Schizosaccharomyces pombe: one gene and its partner. The gene in region 1 interacts genetically with each later gene. Each region holds a gene or a part of one and is shown on either strand. Other genes may lie near its edges.

Region 1 (3,762 bases):
CTAATAGGAAGTATTAAAAAAGACAAACTAGGAATATAAAAAACAATTATTACAATAGGAGATTGTCGTTGTCTAGGAAGTTTTGGGTTTTAGAAACCGGTTCGCTAGAAGACGAAACAACTCTTTCCCTAGTTGAGTTTTCTTGATGAACTTTGTTTACGGCAGAGGACCACAGACTACCAAAAGCATCACCATTAGATCCAGAAGATTTGGCAGCAGTAGGTTGTTGTGAGGTTAATCCGAGACCGGCTTGTGAAGAGGTATTAGACAATCCGGATGACATACCAAACGCAGATGTATAACCCGTATTAAAGGTAGTAGGTTGAGGTGTAAAGGCACTGGATGATGTGGGAAGTTGATTTAAACTATTAAAGCCACCGAACGAAATTGACGAAAAGGCAGCAGTATTTGAAGCGGGTTTGGCGGAGGGAGCGCTTTGAAAATCATCAAAAGCATCATCGTCATTTTTAGCAGCAGTTGAAGCAGTTTGAGAGCCCATAAAGAGAGAGGCATTGTTTAAGGTGGAAGAAGCTGGGGCAGCGGCAGAACTTTGGAAGTCACCGAAGCCATCATCTTCGAACGCCAAAGGAGCAGAAGTATTTGTTTGTGGTTGGGCAGGAGAAGGCTCATTGTCAAGACCCAATAAATCGATCATTGCAGATTCCTGTTTTGGCTGCTCGGGAGCTTTGTCAGATTGTTTGGTAGTAGTGCGACGTGAGCCACGCGTGGAGTTTGCGGTTGCAGCATCGCTGGAACCACCATCTCCATCTTCATTGTACTCCTCTACATCGTTATCGGATGCATCACGGGAATCACTCATAGAAGATGAATCATGGTATCCATTACCATAATCGGTAAAGCCGCCACCGTCTCCGTAAACGCGAGTTCTATAAGAACCACGGGAAGAGCCAAAGCTAGGAAACCTAGATTTAGAGCTAGTGGAAATCCTAGAATCTCCATCACTACCAACACCTATAAATTTACCACGATTTTGACGCGCTCTCTTGCGTTCCTTACGGATACGTTCGCTATCGTTTAGTAATTCCACCAGCTCTTTAGCTCGAGTTCGAACATTAAGCCCTTGGTCCTTTTGACGATGGTCGATGTAGTGAAAATTACGAAGCATTTTAATAGTTGCTTGATGTGCTCGAGCATCATCTACCACTCTTTCAGACCCGTTCTTGACCAAAAACTCCAGAAGCTGAAGTGCTTTGTAAATTTGACGCCATTCTTCTGCAGTTTTTTCGGTAAACCGACGGTAGATCATTGGTAAAATTTCGTTTAACTGAGAGTAGTTGTGAGTTCCTTGGGCAATTTCCATCATCAAAGAAGTACTAGCGCCCCAGGGTTCATTATTCGTTGCTTCACGAACTCTGGCTTCCATAGATGTATAATTCATTACAACATTTTGTGCTTTACGAACCGCCGCCTTGATATCGTAAAGGTTGATGTTCTTCATCGTCGATTGAATGGACTCCATCTTAGATAATGTTTTACTTTCTTGGATTTCTAGTTCCTAAAGGAATTTATATCCAATTGTTTAAATGAAACTTTTTTAAAGAAGTTTTCGCTTCTCAAAGAACGCGTAGGCAACGAGTATGGAAGTATTGTTGTCGGTGGATGGGGAAATCAGATTTCTCAGTCTAGCCGCGGCTCCTTTTTACTTTATCAAGAAACTGCATCATATATCTTTATTCTGCTTTACTGAGAGAATTTTTTTTTATTGATCTACGAAATTTAGTAATAACGATTTTAAGGGTGTTCACTAAATCCCTTGGGAATACAAAGTTCTATTTACAGGCCCTCCTTGTATGTATATATTCACACACATTTTGTAGGTGTCAAATGCGATTTACTATTTGTTTGTTTCATCCATATACAGATTTCTCTTTCCCTTTTTAATTTATTATTCAGATTAATCTGATTATAAAGTTAACTTGGTGTTTCTATATAACTACCCATTATAAATTCGTAAAATTATAACCTTTATTAAATCAAATGGTTCATTCAATACATAACGGTTTACGGTTTGAATACTCGTGCTCAATTTATTTCAGACTGAATCATATACCATTTATTTCGATTTACTTTTCAGAGTAAAGAAATTCTACCTCTGCTATACTCCAATCTTTTTAATGTATATAGTTGATGAATAACAATAGGAGAAAAAAGCAATAATAATTGATTATCTTTCTACGCATTAATCATTCTTAATGGAAGATGCCTAAATATGTACATAATGTTTCTAATATTCAAATATGAGCATTTGAATAAAACGGGAATTTTCTTTTTAGCAACTTATTGTAAATTCATCTTTCAAAAAATTATTTACATGAATATCTTTAAATACAAGCAGACCAAAAAGCAGGTTTCAAAAAAAAATAAAATAAAAGGCTTTATACAAAAGGCTTGTATTCGGGATTCCATTCACGTTCAATAATCCATTCCTTCAATTTAGCATCATCTTTGGGTAAATCCACAGTGCTCATTCCCTCAGAAACAGCTTGCTTCAAGACTGCAAAAACAATGTGACGAGAAATTTCGCGAGCATTGTTCAAATCTGGCAAGAGGGCTTCATCAGCAGCAAATAAAGATCTGGGAACAGTGGCCAAAGCATCGGAAGCTGCTTTCAGCATACCATCACTCAATAACTTGCAACGGGATAACACACATGCAACACCAAGAGCAGGGTAAAGGAGGGCATTGTTGCATTGGGAAATCACGTATTTTTTACCATTGCGATTGAGAGGAGGAAGTGGGGAACCAGTGGCTATCAAAGCCTTTCCATCTGACCATTTGTCAATTTGATCGGGCTTCGCTTCCATAAGAGTAGTGGGATTAGAGATTGGGAAAATGATGGGGCGCTCGACGTGCTTGCTCATTTCACGAATGGCTTTCTCTGTAAATTTACCCGGTTGACCGGAACATCCCAAAAGAATGGTGGGCTTGACGAGTGCAATAGCACTCTCTAAATTAATGTCTCCAGAAGGGACTTCCTTAAAGTCAGAGTCCTTCTTCAAAAATGGCTTTTGTCCATCAGTAGCAATCTTAGCATGTCTCTCCAAAAGCAAACCGCAACGATCAATCATGAAAAGATTACCTCTAGCCTTATCTAATGAAAGGCCATCTGTCACCATACCGGCAACAATTTGGTTGGCGATACCAACACCAGCAGTACCTGCACCAAAGATCATGATGCGCTGCTCGGTTAAGGGAGATTTCGTAACGTGAAGGGCGCCAATAATGGCGGCCAATGCTACGGCACCGGTTCCCTGGATATCATCGTTAAAGCAGGCAATGTCAGGACGATAGTGGTCTAAAATGCGCTTGGCGTTGGCAAGACCAAAATCCTCAAAATGAATAAAGGCCTCAGGAAAGACTTCACGAATGGCCTTTATAACATTGTCCAAAAAGCTGTCATACTGTTCACCACGAACACGATCCTTTCTCAAACCCATGTATTGATGATTTTTACGATGGGTTTCATTGTTGGTGCCAACATCGAGAACAATGGGCAAGAATCGATTAGGGTCTAAACCCGCGCATAAAGTCATTAAATGTCCCTTGGCAACTGAAATTAAGACACCACCAACACCTTGATCGCCGATACCCAAAATACCTTCAGAATCGGTAATGATAATGTATTCGACACTATCGGATTTTCCAAACTCGGAAAGCTGTTGCTTGATATAAGACAAATCGTTATGATCAATATCCAAATAACAACCCTCAGGATAACGATATATATCGGAAAACTGCTTG
Region 2 (3,762 bases), on another chromosome or scaffold:
AACTATTCCTCACAGTGCTAATTACATCCGGCTCAGGTTCAATTGATCGGTTTGAATCCATGCTAGAATCAATATAATGATGTGCATACGTGGATGAAAGTCTTTGTTCTATTAGAGCATCATTCAATCGCATACAAGTTTGGAGCTTTTGCAAAGCTTGAATTAGCCCGTTATATTTACTCATTGTTTCACCAAGCGATCGCATCATACGAGTTCGCATAACACCCATATTTTCGTGGAGTTCCTGTAGCTGATATTCCGTAAAAATAGACCCAGGTGGTAGCTTTTTTAACTTTTGCACCAAAGTAGCATATAAAGTGATGTTATCAGCATCCGCAGTAGAAATTAAAGTAGAAGGATTATCACTCGGCCTACCAGAGAAAGGAGATGATCGAATATCAGTTGAAACGGTGTGAGCTGGAACACTAGGGTAAGAAATATTCATATTGTTAGGTGCCGTAACATTGTCATCCTTTTGAGATGACTTCTGTGCTTCCTCAAGGCTGATAGCAATAGCACGTTTAAGCTCTTCATCTTCGTCTTCTGTAAGATGTTGGTCTTGACTAATAACTACATTGGCCTCTGAAGGTCTTTCATAAGATGGAGGTTCTCGTGATTGAGGCATTTCTTTGAGGGAAAGCTCAATAGCTCTTTTGATATCTTCGTCTTCATTATTAGTTACGGGTTTAGAGGGTGTCTTTCTAGTCTTCGCATGGAATTTCCTTTCATTTCGCGCTCTTGATTTGGAACCTTTGGGTTTCGTACGTAATGAATAACAACTGTCGCATACCCTAACAGGCTGGTTAATTCCAAGGTGAGGAAGAGAAAGTGTTTTTGAAGAACATTGATTGCAAAACACGCCACCGCAATTTCTACAATGGTGTTTACGATTAGTGAATGTAAAAGGTGTACGACAACGAAGACAAACTTCACTATCTGTCCAATCGGGCGGTGTTTCAGTATCTAAAAATTTGCTAGTAATGTTCTGAGAAGGCTCAGGGAACTCATAATCACCGTCTTTTAAATTTTGATAAACATGAATAATATAACTAAGTGGAGAATTGGTATCTGGAACTGCCAAAGCCCAAGACTGAATGTATCGTAAAATGACCATTTTAACGTCTTCGTCTATTCCTGCAGGAGATCGTAGAATAGATACCAAATTATCCATAAACTCTCTAGAAGCTATTTCCAATAAAAAACCGGAACCCCCATTTTTAACGCAGGTATCTGTCAACTTCAATGCCATTATTTGAACATTCGGATTCGAATGATCAATTCGGGATTTAAGAATACGCATAGCAAATTTCGGATCAACAGACTTACTACGTATTTGATCAGAAATTTCTAAATATAATGAAATTTCTTCAGAGCCAGCAGGAAGCGTTTCCGATGTAGCCTTTTCTATGTCGGAAGCAAACTGAGAATTGGAATTCCACCACCGAGACATCGTTATGAAAATAGAGAAGAAAAGAAAAACCGAAATTAAGAAACAAAAGAAATCTTTTTATTATTTGTAAGCTAAATTGTCACCAAACAAATAACCAATGGCCTTCAAAAATTCCTAATAAACAAAAGCAGCAGGTGAAGTATAACAACTTTGGCACAATTCTTCTGATTGTTTGAAATTATGGCAAAATAATGTATTGTAAATCCTCCTTTCCAATAAAATTCAATTTGAGAAAGAGTTTGGTTCTCGACAGCAATAACAGATTGTTCGTGGCTCAAACTTGCTAAGTAATAGTGCGGGCAGCTTAGCACATCTCGGTATAACGGTTGATAGTGCAGAGCGGCAAATATAGTAAAGCAAGTATTGAGAGAACACTAATTGTCGTAAATATCGATGATGTTTATAGACTCATTAGGTAGATCAAGCTAAAGCGTGCAATGTAGTTTCAGCCTTTTTGAAGGTACCATAAATAAGCAAAGAAGGAAAACGATACCTCACCATTGAGTGCTGTACTTCTGGTAGGTGCTAATAAGACAGACCGTAATAATTTATATTTGCTATGCGAATTATATACTATCACAGTGTTTCTTGAAATATTATAAAAAATAATATGTCAAATGTTGTAGTATACACATACTTAATTTTCCTATGTTAAAACAAGTATTTAGTATATCTTCAAATTTCACATATATATCATATAAACAGTCTATTTTACTTTCCAATTTGTAAGCAATCTGTTTTACGGTCCATAAATTACATTATGTATATATACAAAAACAATTCAATCCTATCTTTGTCAAATTTATGGAGCTAGTTGCTATTAGTAATATGCACTAGCAGTCAAGCGATTAAATAATTGTACAATTAAATCCATCTAAAGTTAAAACAATTGTATAAAAAAAAGTTTTAAATTTTTGATTGTTAAGAATTAAATATGAAGACGAGTTTAGTATACCTCAATGTCAGTGGTATGTAGCTGCCTTTTGCCAACTCCATCAACAGATTTTGTAAATCAACGAAATATGCCTATTCCAATTATTGCTCACATAGCACAATTTAAGTATGAGCATCTAATTACACATTGGGCTCAATATACAAAGGCTGCGATTGCGGTTTCAACAATTGCGGCCTTTAAATTCTGGACTTCTGGACGAACAACAACTTGGGAGCGTAAAATGAACGGAATGGTAGTCATGGTCACTGGGGGAAGTTCTGGAATAGGACAAGTTGTCGTAGAGAAATTAGCTTCTCTGGGAGCTCAAGTTGTTATTCTACTTCGTACAGAGCCAGATCAATTTACTGTAGATTACATAATGGACCTTAGAAAGCGTACAAAAAACCAACTAATTTATACTGAAGTCTGTGACTTGAGCTCTATGTTATCTGTTAGGAAGTTCGCTACAAAGTGGATTGATTGCACTCCTATTCGTAGGCTGGATATGATAGTTTTGTGCAGTGGAGTTTTACTGCCTCCATTTATGGATAGGCAAACTACCGAGGAAGGTGTTGAGTTGCAATGGGCTACAAATTTCTTAGGTCCATACCAGCTACTTAGGATTCTCCGCCCAGTTATATATGGTCAGCCCGGGCACAGGGAAGTACGAATTGTTGCAGCTACCTGTTCATCATATATTTTAGGTAATATAGATTTCAACGATCTTGATTTATCTAATCATCCATATCCTCGAAAAAGTCCCTGGAAGGTAGTGGGAAATGCCAAACTTGCCTTGATGACTTATCTTTATGATTTTCAGAAAAAAGCTGAAGCTCATGAACGACCTGACAAAATGCCGTGTAATTTACATACCATCATGGCAAATCCAGGTGTCGTTCGAACTCCAGGATTTCGAAGAGTTGTATCCTTTGGAAAGGTTTGGGGATTATTTCTTTATTTGTTACTTTGGCCGTTTTGGTGGCTTCTTCTGAAAGGTACTATTCATGGTGCTCAATCATTTTTTCATGCTATTTGCAGTCCCGAATTTGCTTCGATTACTCAACCCGTCCTTGTAAATGAATGTTCGATAGTTGAATATTCACGCAAAGAAATTACCGATCCGGAATTTGCTGAAAAACTAATAAAAGCTGCCGATGCCCAAATTGATGAAGTTGAAAAGCAATACAAGAAGAAGAAAATCAAGAAATCAAAAAAATAGAAGTTTAGCGAAAAATATGGAATGTCATTTGGTTGGAATATTCACCATAATAACGTAGGTCCGAAGTTAAAAGGTTGGTATTTTTAAAAAGACAAATACAGTGCTTAAACTTTAAGCTGTACATAAACATTGCTCAAGTAAACTAATTAAAATATAAAA

Evidence for each region.
Region 2: mutations in ent3 (region 1) and sst4 impair growth when combined (synthetic growth defect), as found in Schizosaccharomyces pombe (one study listed by BioGRID).

Annotation. Positions count from the first base shown.
Region 1 is NC_003421.2:273,118-276,879, forward strand, and holds the start of ent3 (ENTH/VHS domain-containing protein Ent3), read right to left. Parts: upstream 1,632-3,762; 5' UTR 1,481-1,631; coding exon 50-1,480; 3' UTR 1-49. Other genes in the region: malate dehydrogenase Mae2, read right to left, coding at 2,397-3,762.
Region 2 is NC_003424.3:2,475,807-2,479,568, reverse strand, and holds the start of sst4 (ESCRT 0 complex subunit sst4), read right to left. Parts: upstream 1,699-3,762; 5' UTR 1,451-1,698; coding exon 1-1,450. Other genes in the region: pbr1 (putative dehydrogenase), read left to right, coding at 2,473-3,603.